Linked DNA regions of Danio rerio. The main gene of each other region encodes a partner of the protein of the gene in region 3 in a complex. Links are inferred from orthologs where the notes say so. Each region holds a gene or a part of one and is shown on either strand. Other genes may lie near its edges.

Region 1 (3,569 bases), on a different chromosome or scaffold from region 3:
AATGTGGATACAATTTACATATTAAAACAGTGTTTGAAATGAGAAATGCAAACAATGTAATTTAATTTACATTTTCATTCTGCACCAAACATTGCTCATATGTCTTGGAAAATGCAAATTCAAATACAGAAATACATTGCCATTTAACATATTGCATTGCCATTTTGCATATTACATTTTTAATTGAATTATGCTACTCGTATGCTTCCATAATTTGCAACTTAAAATTACTTTCTATTTAAACTGGAACTCCTGTAAAGGCAAAGCTGAACTTTTAAATGATCCCCAAGAGGCCTTTCTAATATGCTGATCTGAACATTTCTTATTTTAAATCTTTATATATATATATATATAAAAAAAAACAGCAATACTGCTTAGTATTACTATGGAAGATGCAAAGGCTTTCTGTATGACTCACTGAAAGAAATGAAAATAGGACTGATCCTGAACTTTTGAACAGTAGTTTGTGTCTGTCAAATTCTTAGCCAGATCACTCACACTTACACACTCACAAAAAAAAAAAAAAAAAAAGTAAAATGAGTTCACATTTACCCATGCCGTCACTTTCAATCCATGAACTCAGGCTGTTGCTGTATATGTCATCAATACCCATAAATGTAACCCTGCCAACCTGAGCAAGCAAAACAAGAAACAAGACCATGTGAACAGTGAATAAAACCAAGGGTGTGCAAAGATGGCATTCGAGTGAGGATTTTATGATGATTGTACCTGCGTGAAGGCATTCTGCTTTTCATGTTCAGCTTTTCTATGGACTCTCGAACGGAACAGGCCAGCAATTCCAGCAAAAGTTTTCTTGACCACCCTGACAATCACATCTGTAGAGAGAAAGAGACAGAAAATGACTGAGAAAAATCCAGTGAAGGAGCAATAGGCACTTTCACATTTTGTAGTTACATAAACTCCGCCATTAAACTAGCCATCAGGCCTGGTTCATTAGAACTAATTTCCACCCTGATCGTTTTTTTATGGTAGTATTCAGTCAGAAGGAACTGGCTAGTGGCATATGCTTGCCAACATCGGTGTCATGTGCTGATTCAACAAAATCAATAGCTAAAAGATTGATGATTTTGAGCATAAAGTAACATTTTAAAATACCGTGCCAGGGTATATATGACATGTATTTGCCCATTCAGAAGTCAGTTGCACCAATGTAGTTCATATTGTGCTGGATTTGACACTGTTCTGAAGAAAACAATGGAAAAATGTTCCCCAATTCGAAAAAAGTCCCCATTTTTTGTATTAGACTAGTACAGCTAAACACTATATTGCTTCAACATTGATAAAGTAATGTGAGCACTGTAATAATTTGTATATTGCAGAATGTGTAGTAAAGTTTGTTTTATTTTCACGCATTTAGACTTTCTCAATATCATATTATCAGAAGAGTCTTATTTGCAAATTTTAAATAGGAAAATCATATTAGCAGGCAAAGACTATCAAAGTACAGCATTGTTTACAGCCAATTAAATAATGCTAATGTTGTTCTGAAGTCATACTTACATGTGATTTCAGACTGAATATTCAAAGTACCATAGTAAACAATATAAGGAGCGTGTCTTAAGTTGTCACTGAACGAATGTGCGAATATAAAACCAACTTTACCTCAATGCTGACCAGATATTACAGCTTACAATGCTTAGGTGACACTGATTTGTCTATCAATTGCAAAGTTTAACCATAATAGTGTGAAAGTTTATCATTTGTGTGTGTTTTTAAATGTAAACATTCCAATTGAGTTTAAAGAATTAATGACTAGAAACAATCAGTTTAGCTCTAACTGCATTTAATTTACACAGTGAAGATTTTCATATTTGATTATTCAATTTCTGTTTCAAAACACTGTTAGAAATTCTCAGGAAAAAAATAGCACTGTATACTTCATTTGTATCCTTGGTGGATTCAACTTATACACAATAGTTATTTGTTCATTGTATTTCATGCAAATGACATTGAAGTCAACTGTTTTCCATTAGGGATGTTATGACTCAACATGAGCCGGTTGAAAATCGATTCAAATATGTGAAACTGGTATTCAAACTGGTAGAAATGTTGAAGGAATCGCGATAGATTTTTTTTTTAAACAGAGGGGTGATGTGTTTACAGGCACAAACTCACTTAACCTGCACATCAGCAGCGAGCAAGAGGTGGAGCGGCAGACTAAAATGACAGCGGTGAAGTGCGCCAGAAAAAACACTAAATGGAAGCAAACACTGCAAAAAGACGTTTACTTACACTAACAGAACAACCAAAATGATGTACATAAACCACCAGCACAGTGAAAAACTGTCACAGATGCCTATATGTACAAGAGCTGTGCGGTATCTGGGGATATATATCGATAGGATTCCCTAAACGCAATGCGGGATTATCCAATATCTTGCATATCGATATGGGTTGAGGCCACACATGCACATTCTGTGTGAAACAGACCACTCCAAGGTAGCACATGATCTCCAATTGCACAAATGTGAGCATGCTCAAATGAATGATTCACTCAATGAGTCATACAAAAAAGATGTTTAAAATGAACGAATCGTTTAAGAACGACCCATCACTGATGCAACAGAGGAAAATGCAGTGCCGGTGTTGTAGGGTTGTAACAATATACTGGTATGACGGTTTATCACGATTTGAACGTGCACGATTATCATACCATGAACAATTGCATATCAACGGTTTTAACCCTTAAAGACCGAGACAGCCGCCCGCGGCTAAAAATAAGTATTGCTCTTAAATGTTTAATTACTTTTGATCCGCTGATCCGATTCATACAATTCAAAGATTGGCATAAAGAAGAGAATCTCAGCTTTCCAGTGCTGTATCACATAACATTCGTGGACTTTCAGAGGCTCCGGAATCAGTGCGGTTACGTCATCAAAATTTGACAACGCTGATTTGACAAAGAAACGCTCGTCACTGTGTCTCCGGACAAATCAGACATGATACATTGATGCATTGTCCCTCCTCCATGCTCAGATTGGTTCAAACTCGCTATATCACAACCAATAAGCATAGGTTTCGCTTTTGTTTGTGGACCAAGCTTTTTGAACAACACGGAATGAGAGATAGGCATACATTTATGCGCGGCTAAATAAAACGCAAAAAAAAAAAGTTTTGCATGAAATAATTCTCATACTAAGTACTTTTGCATGCACAGCAGCACAGAAACATGACAAAACAGTGACACAGCAAAGACGAACTGCTGCTCTTGCTGTTTTCAAAAGACGCAAATGAAGGTGCAGCTGTTTGTCTGCATTGCAGACAACCATATCCAAATCCATATCGATAGACAACCATATCCATGCTGGCACATAAAACCTAAGGATGTTCCATATTGAATCTAGTTTCGTTATGTAACTATTTATAGTATAGTAAATATTTATATCTATTTTTTACTGAGGATTTGCACCATGTTTATTTGGACTTTATTTGGACTTTGACACATTATTTATTATTTTCTTATTTTTATTTGTTCATTGTAAGTGGTGTTGTTTATAGTAACTGAAAATATATTATTTGGAAAAAGTCAAATTTGCTTCACTGTTCTA
Region 2 (2,805 bases), on a different chromosome or scaffold from region 3:
TTTAAGTAAATTTTAAGACCCTAGTGAATTAAATTTTAGAGACTTACACAGATCAAAACATTAAGGATTTATTTTTTTAAATGGGCCAGCTACTTCTGTAGATAGTTTTTTGGATTAAAGGCAAATCATGTAAGGAATGTTAAACTTTAGTTTTCCTTCCCTGGATAGAGAACTTAATTTGCAAAAAAAAAAAAAAAAAAAAAGAAGAAGAAGAAGAAAGCTTAGATATGTATTGCTGATCAGGTGTCAGCTTCATAGGGTGGTTTTTACCTGGACAAAGAAAAATGAAGATTTGTTTTAAATGATTTTTGACCTACAACCCAATATTTAGGACCTACAACCCAATATTTCAGTGGATTTAAATTGTAAGGGCTTAAATTGTGTTTTTTTATTTTATTGAAGACCTCACGAATAAACAGTTTTGAATATTTTGTCTGGACAACAGTTGAACAGCAGCTCACACTAAATTGACAGCAATAAAACAGCACTTCATTTCACCCATCTAAATGAATTAAAGTCTGTCATATTTAGCGGAAGATTAATTTGATAAAAATCAGGAAGTGTTATATGAACTAAACCCATGCATGGATTATTTGTTGACGTTTCTATCATTCTATCTTTAAAATGATGCAACATACCTGTAGATTCTTCTTACGGTGAAACACGATGCTCTTTGCTTTGACCTTCCTGTCCTTGATGTCCACTTTGTTACCACAAAGCACTATGGGAATGTTCTCGCACACGCGCACCAAGTCACGATGCCAGTTGGGCACATTTTTGTAGGTCACTCGAGAAGTTACATCAAACATGATGATTGCACATTGAGCTAGAAAAACAGAAACACATGTTAATCCACTGTTGCCTCATCAGCAAAGCATATAAACAGAAGAGTTTCATACCCTGGATGTAATAGCCATCTCTCAGGCCACCGAACTTCTCCTGTCCGGCTGTGTCCCATACATTATATTTGATGGCTCCTCTGTTAGTGTGGAAGACCAGGGGATGTACCTCAACTCCAAGTGTAGCTAAAACGACACAATTAAAAGCAGCATATTAATGTCAGGATCACACAAGTCGCACATTCTTCCAGAAGTTTCACTGAGATGTCACCTGAATAAGTGTTTCATGTGAAGCAAACACTTACCAACATATTTCTTTTCAAACTCCCCAGTCAAGTGTCTCTTCACGAAGGTGGTTTTCCCCGTACCTCCATCACCTACCAGAACCAGCTGTGGTTGGGGGGAGAAAAAAAAAATTCGACATTAGCAAAACTAGCATCACATAAGCAGCCCTTCAAATTGGTTAGACAGACCTTAAAAGAAAATAATTGCTTGGATAAAACAGTCATTTATGACCTCACAGATACAATTTGCTATAGATTACACAAGGGCATTACAGGCATAGATATAAAGATGGGATCTAACCGCAATGATCAATTTATTATTAGTAATGATGGAAGACTATCCCAATTGTCAAATTGTCAACCCAATTTGAGTTTGCACTTAAATTATCTTACGTATGTATATCAGGGCTCGACAATAAGGACTGCCCGATGGCCCAGGCCCAGCATGCGAGACACTCAGGAGAGTACACAATTGTTACTGGCCCGATCAGGGTGCTGCCGTGTTGCTAAAGTTTTATTTTGGATGTGAATGTTTGTCAATCGTGCCCAAATAGGGTGCTTTTCACACCTTGACATTTTTTACGAAACCGATCTTGTTTGCCCAGTAAGCGTGGTTTGTTTGGCATTTGTAAAACTAGTAATCGGGTCCTGATCTGCCCCGAAACAATTGGTCCGAGACTGCCTGAATGAGGTGTTCTCGGCTTAATTGAACAACTCTGGAGTGGATCAATTGTATTAACCAAAAGATCCAATAAACTAACAAATCAGGCTAAATCCGTGTTTTATGGTTGTGTAATAGCCACATATATGGCTTTACGAAGTAAGGGTGTCACAATCCTCCAAATCCCTGATTCGATTACATTTTCGATTCTAAAGTCACGGTTCGATTCGATTTAAAAAAGAACAATTAAATAATCATAAATGAATAATACAGTAAATGAATAAAAATAAGTTACAAACATAATTGCCATCCGGAAATCACTTTCCGCGAGACTCGTGAATAGGCAGTGATCTGTGTCCTTATAATGGCATCAGTAAAAAAAGGTCCACAACCAACAGGACCAAGCCAACAGTATCTAAGGCGTTCGCTAAAATTACCAAGTACAAGTGTAAAAGTGAAAGATTGAAGCAGTCTACTGACCCGCTGACTGCCTGGACTGCTGTCTTGAGCAGATGACAATGTGTGTGCCTGCCTGTGTGTATGTGGTCACGTGATGTGCGTTTTCAGCGGTAGTGAGGAAGGAGGGCTGCTCAGAAATGCAAGACGTCTGTGTGGATGTGGATCATTATAAAATGCCATTCAGGGCCTACTCACACTATGCCATCCGTACCGTGCCCAGGCCCATTTCACGGATCATTTGAGAAGTGTGAGTGCGCTGAATCGGGCTCAACCACGGTTCACTTGGCCGGCCCTGGCCTGGTTGGAAGAGGTAGGCCTGAGCGCAGTTCACTTGGGCTTTGGCGCGGTACGCTTGTAGTATGAGTGCAAAATGCGCCAAAGCCCGAAACTGAAAGCGAGACGTCTATTAAGTAACTTTTATATGAATTTATTAATCATTCTTACTGTTCAGTGAACACAAACTGCCGTAGGTTATTAAAGACATAAACCCCTCACTGCACCACAGCTACGCTCCTTCAGCAGACCTCCTCATTCCTGCAGCACAAGAGCTTTATGATTATGA
Region 3 (4,279 bases):
TATCCTTCAAGGTATCCGGCCAAAAAGTATGTGACTTCATCATTCTCCTGGGATTCTCCATAACCAGCTTGCACTTCCAGCACTCCCCATCCAGAAACAGACAAACTATCATTGAAATAACCAAAGGCATCTCCATTCTCTTCCATCACATCCTCTTTCAGGACCACAGACCTCTGAACAGCATCCCAGTACACAGTGGCTCTCTGAACATCTTAAACAATTTAAAAAGACCACATATATCAATAAACATTATAGGTTGACTTGTTTTATATTGTCTTGGTTTGATAAACAAATGCCAAGTATGATAACAAGTTTGTTGTAGTTCTAGCCAAGCGTTTTCAACTTGGTTAAACGGATATTTTACGCAAAAAAGAGAGAAAATTGACTCGCTATATACAGTAGCCTACTCAACCTCGAGTGGTTCCAAGCCCTATGAGTTCAAGATATTTAAGAAGAAAATCGTTTAAAGAAAGTTGAAACCCTGTATCCATATATCCATAGTAGGAAATGAGTCGGTTACTGGTTTTCAGCTTTTTTTCAAATGTGTTTTGCAGAAAAAAGGTAGTTCAAACTGGTTTGGAACAGGTAGAGGATGAGTTAATAATGACAGTTGTATCTGAACAATCAATTTAAGGAATACTAGCCTTCTAATGTTATGTAAACATACAAAAGGACATGTTACCACTAAAACGTGACTTTAAGTGAGTGGAATTAATTTAAAATACTCACGCTGAGCCATTACGAATGTCGCCGCGAGGACGCACAATATAAATACCCTTGTGACGTTAAATCGATACATGTTTCACGCTGAATTAGACTAAGCTTAAGTTTACTTTCTGGATCTGGTTAATCATGGTATGTAATCTGTAATCAAACACTGGGCAAATATAACATCCCAGAATATAATGCTAGACTAAAGTACGAAAAACCAAGATTTGGTTATTCAATTTAGAACTTAAAGACGTTGTATGTCCACATTAACTGGTTTTCTGTCGCAGATCGCCTTGTGTGTGATTAAAAGATTTCCACCCCAGATGGGACTCGAACCCACAATCCCTGGCTTAGGAGGCCAGTGCCTTATCCATTAGGCCACTGGGGCTTGCGTCATGGAGTGTGTAGAATGTGTATTACAAACGGTCTTATAAACGGAATGCAAGTCGTACATTTAATCTAACTTGTTTTACCAAATTTTAAATATAATTAGTAAATACAAATGATTTGTTATTCAGCTATATATTTACATGAATCAGCATTCTTATTTAAGTCACACATTTGTCTAATGTTAAATTTATTTCAACGTGCAACATTTTATTGATTTATTATAAAAATAAAAAAACAGTAATAAAAAACAGTATTTAAACAGTATTTAAATGAAAAATTTAAACCGAAAAATAATGACGTTTTCAGTAACGCTGTGCTATTATAACAATCAAAAATATTAATCGTGCTTTTATTATGAAAGATCATGACACCGGCACTTTCAAAGGACTGCCGCCTCCATGTGCCTCCTGTTTTGATGGTTTTATTCTGGTAACGTAAGTTAGTTATCTGCTATCTTCCTCCATTAAAATCCGCGCCGAGGTGTGAGGTAAATAGAAAACATTCACTTACTTTTTTAGATTTAACCAAAGTTCCTGCGCTAAATTAGCTAGTTTGAAGTCATGAATGAGATTAATGCTAGTAAGCTAACTCCTCTCTGAGTTAGCTTAAACCGTTTGTGTATCAGCCGTAGTACCAATGATGCAATGATATTATCATACTAGCTAGCTGTTTGAGGACTATATTGAGCTTAGTAATACTGTTTAAAGTTCATCAAGCACATTTCAAATATAACACGTAGCGTTATTTCTTTGGCTGTCATTTATATCCATGTTTAGAGATAACGTTAAGCTAGCAGTGGCTATATTAATATTACAGTCTTAATAACAATGAAGTAAGATTAAGGATGTACTTTTTATATATCCTAAATAAATTCATATGATTGTGAGGTATGTTTTAGGTTTAACGAGATACATTTTTGAAACACACTTATGTCTTACTAACTTTATTAGAAGAGAAAACGGGGAAAGCAATGGCCTTAGGGGATATTGCTCAGATTACAGAGGCTCTGGCCAAAACTCATGTTGGAGAAGTGGAGTTAAGTTATAAGGGACGAGGGCTGAAGCTGGACAATGCAGAATCAGGTGAGTAAAACGTTCTCTGTATTATCAAATTTGTTTATTTTTCATGTCTTAATCCATAAGCAACATCTCTTGGAATTCCCTCCTTTTCTTTTGTTACAGTGAAAGAGATTGTGGAGGACATTGAACGGTGTCAGGGTCTGCAGTCTCTCCGGTTAGAGGGAAACACATTGGGTGTTGAAGCAGCAGATGCCATTGCGAAGTCGCTTGAAGCTAAACGTGAACTGGAGGTAGTTTTAAATTACTAGTAGACATATGCAATAAACTGAGATAACGAGCATACACAATATTGATATCATGGGCTCTTCAAAATGTTAGTTAACGTCTTATAATGCATAAAAAATGTTGATTGGAGTTAATGGCTAATACTGGTCAGTTGAATTTTTGACATACTAACTTAAACATAGTTACTATAACTGCCCTTTTTCTCAGTGTTAATTTTAAATTTAATGCATTAATTAACAATTACTATTAGGACTTTATTGTAAAGTGTAAAGTGTTACCTAGTGTATTAGTGCAATTAAATTTGTTTGAAACATTTGTTTGCTCTCAGCAGATATGTACAATTAAGCAATACAATAATTGTTTGTTTTTCTACGTTACATGAACCTTTTTGCAACTTTGGTTAATATTGTGACAATTGTGGTATAATGTACAGTGATAAAACCTTCAGGATTTAATTGCAGCAAGAAAATCTGATACCATCCTAAACCTAAATACCACTGCACAGTTTTTACTTTCACTTTGCTGCTTTTATAACTTGTCTTTTTTTTTTCTCTCAAAGCAATGTCATTGGAGTGACATGTTTACAGGCCGCCTTCGCTCTGAAATTCCACCTGCTCTGGTAAGCTTTTGTATATCCAGTTAAAAACATTTATTTATTTCTTTTAGGGCTGCACAATGTGATGCACAATCACATTCAGGTATAAGAAATTGTACCTTTTTTTTTTACCATAACTGATTATATTAATGAATTATTTTTATCATTCAGTTACTGTACTTGAATATTGTTTGACTCAGGAAATAATAAAACACTTTATTTCAATTGTATTTTTCTTTCTTGATTGTATTTATGGATTGTTAAGCATAAAATACTCAAAACACATGCAAAAACAGAAATACACTGTAAATAGCACAGACCACAATGAAAATGTGTCGGGGTACCTGTAAAAATGTATAGATTGTTTATTAGATTTTATAGAGGTGCTTTTCCACTGCAGTATCATCCCAATCGATCTAACATTATAAATTCTTCCCAAATAAAGATATTATGAAGTTATCTGGTGAAATTGTATTCTTAGCGCAATGTATATCGCAAGATAAGAAAATATTGCAATGTTAGATTTTTCAAATATTGTGCAGCCGTAATTTCTATGCATTCTTCAAGTAAATTGTTTTCATTCAAAACAATTCATTCTTCATTTTTCATTCAAAAGTAAATTGCTGATATTCTAACCAACGGTTTTCTCCAATTTTAGAAATCACTGGGCAATGCTTTGATGACGTCAGGGGCTCGCTTGACTCAGCTGGACCTGAGCGACAATGCTTTCGGCCCTGATGGAGTGAAAGGAATCGAAAACCTCCTAAAGAGCTCTGCGTGCTACACTTTACAGGAGCTCAGGCTTAATAACTGTGGCATGGGCAGTGGAGGAGGGGTGGTAAGTTTAGTATTAAAAAAACTCTGGTCCAACCTAAGAAAACCCTGTTTATCTGCTTGTTATTAGGTCAGTGAAGTAGGCTTTTGCTCTCTGACATGATTATAAACGTGTTAATACTTTTTGAGGTTTACAGCACAGGTTTGTCTGTGTATTTTATTTATTTATTTATTTTTTTTATTTATTTATTTTTTTAGGTCCTTGCTTCTGCATTGACTGAATGCCATAAGCAGTCAAGTGCTGCTGCCTCCCCACTGAGGTTAAAAGTCTTCATAGCTGGACGTAATCGCCTGGAGAATGATGGTGCCACTGCACTTGCCAAAGCATTTAAGGTCTGAGGCATAACTTATTCATCTATATATATCATGATTAAGTATCTGGGTGCACATAGATGCATTAAATATGTAAATGAAGACTTTATATTTTTCAAGACCTTATTAGCGT
Region 4 (3,569 bases), on a different chromosome or scaffold from region 3:
ACGAGCCACAGGTTTGGATCTATAAAACTACCTTAAAATGTTTTACATGCTGCTTTTAAGAAAGTATTCATGGTGCATTAGTGTCCTTGTTATGGTCACTAGTGTTATTAGGATCATCAGCATTTCGACTGTAGGGATTAATAAGAAGAGGCAAAAAACGTGAGACAAAAATGTTAATGTGTTAAAGGAAAACAGAAAATACTGATGACAGAAGGATATTAAAGGTTGAAGGCCTGGAGAAATAGGTTACTTGCATATGCAAAGATTTCAGGGTTTCTGCAGGTTTCACCAAGTTAAATTTAAGACTTACGACATTTTTAAGACCATTATCAATGAAACTCAAAAATGGGCTAAAGACTTAGGCTTTTTTCAAATGGCCCAGATTAAAAATATTTTTATTTGACCTATTAAAAAAAACATATTATAATTTAATACATTTAATAATACAATAATAAATAACATTAATAATAAACAATGAAATAAATTAGATTTTATTTCTTAGCTAAATAATTTAAATATTGTGTAAAAACAAGCAAGCTCTACTTTCCATACACTTTTTTTCCAACATAAACTTTCTTTTAAAAAAAATAAATGAACAAAAGCTTTAAAGTTTTAAAAACAAATTATAAACTTAATCTATGCGCAACATTCCAACAGTCCAGGTCGGTGTCATCAGCAGAAAATACATGAAGAATTTTAAACAAATGTTATTGTAAAAAAAATTATTAAACCATTATGATAAATAGAGTTAAAAATGACCTCTATAAAGAGTTTAAAGTTTTACTGAGATGGATTCTTAGTGATTGTATGGGTTTTGGCTAGATTGGGTAGCAATATATGAACAAAGAAAAATTAAGACCTGTTTAAAAAACATTTAAGACCTACAACATAATATTTCAGTAAATTGAGATGTAAGATTTTAAGACCCCACAGAAACCCAGTATTTCACCCAATGAAAATCACCAGTAGGCGTTCACCTTTAATTGTCCCAAGAATTCAAATAAATATTAACATTGCAACAGCATGCAAAGTATTATATTTTGACTGCTCACATGTGATGTTGCAACATTTCTTGGTGCATGATTGGGAGAAAAATTACAGGGCCAGGATAGAAATGCAGAAATGCTTAGGGAGAAAACGGATTGCACAGCACAGACACTGATAATCCCTACAGTGAAAATAGCTGTAACCACCCATGATTGGGGTAGAAATAAAAATGGGGTAAACTGCCTGCCTATCTCCCTGTCGTCTCTCAGCTCCATATGAGGCATGTGCAGTGTGAATGGAGGCACAGCAGAATTGAGAGTAAGGGAATGAAAAGGTAGACCTTGTGGAGGCCTGCCGCCAAAGCCTAGCTGTGTCAAGGTGCACAGGAAGACACACCCCTTTTCGTCCTATTACAAGCAATCAACATAATGGAACATTGTGATTAATATCAAATATGAACAACTTCAATTAATTGAATTTGTTTGCTTTTTCACCGACTGTAAAATAAATTAAGCAAAAAGCCAAATGTTCAACAGCACTTTAAAGCGCTCGTTCTGTATTTTTCTTGATCAATTTAGACAAATTCAAAGAATTTACCTGCTCTGTATTTTTTCCTGTCTGTTCCTCTAGAGGCCTCACTTTTGGGCCATTATCATTTTGATATTATCGATACTGTTGATAAATCAACTCAAACATTAGTAATGACCAGAGTGTTAAGAGCAATCTTAAAAAGGCAAGCAGACGGCAAACTGGGTCAGCAGTACTTTGAGGAAGTCTATTAACACAGTGAGGAAAACCATTCATCCCAAATACAAAAAAGACTTAAGGTTTTATCAGTGCAGAAATGTTTACTTGTAAAACCAGAAATTGTACATGGATCCTCTGCTTTCCTTTATATAAAAATGATAAAATAAGAATTCATGGATCACTGTTTTAATACATCCTGACCTCAAACAGTCAGTCATCAAAGCACCTCTGGCTGCTGTACAGATGGAGGTACTGAGGCATTTCACCGTCAACAGAGGATCCTCACACATCAACTTTAACTCTGACTTTTCTTGACCAGGAAACGAATGCGAGGAGAGTGAAGGAAAATGTGATCTCACATGTGCACAAAGGAATCTGTTTCTGACTTGATGCTAAGCAACCCCAGTACGCTTAAAAAAGGGTCTTGCTTACATAAGGCAACCTTCCTGGTTCGAAAGAAAGAGCCAAAAACCAAATTGTGATTTTGTATGATGTGTGATAAGAGATCAGATCTTCCTCAAAGTATAGAAACCATGACCCACCAACTGGAGCAAGTTGGGTCTCTGCTTACTTTGGTGTTCATGTTTTGAGAGAACTCTAGAATGGTGTCGACTCGTGTCCACGCATCTGGGTGCTCCTTCAAATGAGTCAGCACCTCCTGGGCCATTCTTTGCTGAAACAAAAAAACATTCATCTTAACTTGTATAACACTATGGTGCAACAATATACTGGCTGAGTGTTAATGATGTCAGTGCATTCACTAATGTATATAGTAAATAAACAAACACTGCCATTTAAAAAGTGACATATATATATTTGTACAATTGTAAAAAGCTGCCAACTTTTTATATTATTTTTGAGTACAATTTATTTCTAAGATGCATTTTGAATTTAAACGAAAGAAGAATATTTTCAGTGGTAACAGAATGTCACAGTAAGGTTCCTCATGTAAAAATACATAATTTCTGCAAACCCTAAGGATTTTAAATAACTAATAAAAATAAATTAATTCAATTTAATCCAATTAAACAAAATTTTTCATTTGTTTGTTGTATTGTTAAGCTACACAAAAGTAAACTCAAATTTAATGTTGTAAATGAATCTGTTATATATATATATATATATATATATATATATATATATATATATATATATATATATATATATATATATATATATATATATATATATAAAACATACTGTCACTCAACAGATAGAGAACAATGCAGAATACATCAGTGAGCAAATCAATGCAAAGGCAGGTGCAGATTTACTACCGTTTTCTGCATGAACTAGGCCTGAACGATTTGTCCTAAAACCTAAATCTCGATTAATTAAACATTTTAACTCGATTACGATTAATGAAAGATTGTTTAATTTATTTGTTTTATGTTTTTGCCCTCATAGTTCACTGACAAGTTTTGTACAGTAAATGTGCTCACATATTACAAGTGAGAGATTTTTGATTGTGCATTACTTGATTAAAATTAAAGGAAACACACACTATCTACTGTCTATGATTATTTATTGAACATCAATATTGAACAACTGAGATAAAGACAAACAGTGCCTAAAACGCGGCTCTCCACGCCGCGCACCCACGTCACCTCTACCAAACTGACCAATCACAAAGCTTGTGCAACGTGTCGTTGTGACGCGCAATTACATTTTTTTGAGAAGTGTGCAGGTATGTGAACGCTTTGCTGGACTGTATGTGCCCTTGGCAGAAGTATAAAATGGAATATAATAGGATAAATTGGCCTTGAACAAGCGGGGTCACGTAACTCAACACATGGTAGGGAAAGTAATTGAAAAAATTTACTTGGAAAAATTTG

Evidence for each region.
Region 1: the proteins of rangap1b (region 3) and senp2 are in contact, whole or in part, in a crystal structure (PDB 2IO3), measured with the Homo sapiens proteins. The link is inferred for Danio rerio from reciprocal best matches to the Homo sapiens genes RANGAP1 and SENP2. Residues at the interface, in NP_001265580.1 of Homo sapiens: Glu467, Asn508, Thr511, Thr514, Arg515, Val518, His519, Leu523, Lys524, Ser525, Glu526, Asp527, Val529; in NP_067640.2 of Homo sapiens: Tyr408, His409, Trp410, Val477, His478, Asp495, Met497, Gly498, Gln499, Lys500, Pro536, His537, Gln541, Gln542, Asn544, Gly545.
Region 2: the proteins of rangap1b (region 3) and ran are in contact, whole or in part, in a cryo-EM structure (PDB 9B62), measured with the Homo sapiens proteins. The link is inferred for Danio rerio from reciprocal best matches to the Homo sapiens genes RANGAP1 and RAN. Residues at the interface, in NP_001265580.1 of Homo sapiens: Ser29, Gly58, Asn59, Thr60, Asp86, Thr89, Gly90, Arg91, Leu92, Arg93, Ile96, Asp121, Ala123, Phe124, Gly125, Asp127, Asn151, Cys152, Gly153, Met154, Gly155, Arg189, Asn190, Arg191, Gln217, Asn244, Asp245, Asn246, Thr247, Asp273; in NP_006316.1 of Homo sapiens: Asp18, Gly20, Tyr39, Val40, Ala41, Thr42, Leu43, Gly44, Val45, Glu46, Glu70, Lys71, Leu75, Arg76, Tyr79, Asp91, Thr93, Ser94, Arg95, Val96, Thr97, Asn100, Lys123, Asp128, Arg129, Lys130, Lys132, Lys134.
Region 4: the proteins of rangap1b (region 3) and xpo1b are in contact, whole or in part, in a cryo-EM structure (PDB 9B62), measured with the Homo sapiens proteins. The link is inferred for Danio rerio from reciprocal best matches to the Homo sapiens genes RANGAP1 and XPO1. Residues at the interface, in NP_001265580.1 of Homo sapiens: Ala2, Asp5, Ile6, Leu9, Ala10, Thr12, Leu13, Ala14, Thr16, Gln17, Val18, Ala19, Gln22, Leu23, Ser24, Phe25, Lys28, Glu44, Arg55, Ala561, Thr564, Lys565, Pro566, Ser568, Glu571, Ser572, Ser574, Phe575, Arg577, His578; in NP_003391.1 of Homo sapiens: Lys245, Ser248, Thr249, Tyr252, Lys253, Glu281, Gln282, Val284, Thr285, Leu289, Met292, Gln293, Gln296, Arg340, Asn342, Leu343, Lys514, Val518, Ile521, Lys522, Leu525, Glu529, Arg532, Lys534, Lys537, Ala538, Ala541, Met545, Phe554, His558.

The regions. Positions count from the first base shown.
Region 1 is NC_133181.1:12,360,019-12,363,587, reverse strand, and holds part of senp2 (sentrin-specific protease 2), read right to left. Parts: intron 837-3,569; coding exon 730-836; intron 632-729; coding exon 553-631; intron 1-552. UniProt on the Homo sapiens protein: Protease that catalyzes two essential functions in the SUMO pathway.
Region 2 is NC_133189.1:25,983,412-25,986,216, reverse strand, and holds part of ran (GTP-binding nuclear protein Ran), read right to left. Parts: intron 1,230-2,805; coding exon 1,145-1,229; intron 1,026-1,144; coding exon 900-1,025; intron 827-899; coding exon 639-826; exon of another isoform or gene 1-638. UniProt on the Homo sapiens protein: GTPase involved in nucleocytoplasmic transport, participating both to the import and the export from the nucleus of proteins and RNAs. Switches between a cytoplasmic GDP- and a nuclear GTP-bound state by nucleotide exchange and GTP hydrolysis.
Region 3 is NC_133187.1:20,673,217-20,677,495, reverse strand, and holds the start of rangap1b (ran GTPase-activating protein 1b), read left to right. Parts: upstream 1-1,476; 5' UTR 1,477-1,535; exon of another isoform or gene 1,536-1,588; intron 1,589-2,051; 5' UTR 2,052-2,071; coding exon 2,072-2,183; intron 2,184-2,282; coding exon 2,283-2,410; intron 2,411-2,964; coding exon 2,965-3,024; intron 3,025-3,658; coding exon 3,659-3,838; intron 3,839-4,032; coding exon 4,033-4,167; intron 4,168-4,279. Other genes in the region: plbd1b (phospholipase B-like 1), read right to left, coding at 1-211, 730-799. UniProt on the Homo sapiens protein: GTPase activator for RAN. Converts cytoplasmic GTP-bound RAN to GDP-bound RAN, which is essential for RAN-mediated nuclear import and export. Mediates dissociation of cargo from nuclear export complexes containing XPO1, RAN and RANBP2 after nuclear export.
Region 4 is NC_133192.1:25,319,439-25,323,007, reverse strand, and holds part of xpo1b (exportin-1), read right to left. Parts: intron 2,408-3,569; coding exon 2,306-2,407; intron 1,660-2,305; exon of another isoform or gene 1,585-1,659; intron 1,395-1,584; exon of another isoform or gene 1,328-1,394; intron 1-1,327. UniProt on the Homo sapiens protein: Mediates the nuclear export of cellular proteins (cargos) bearing a leucine-rich nuclear export signal (NES) and of RNAs.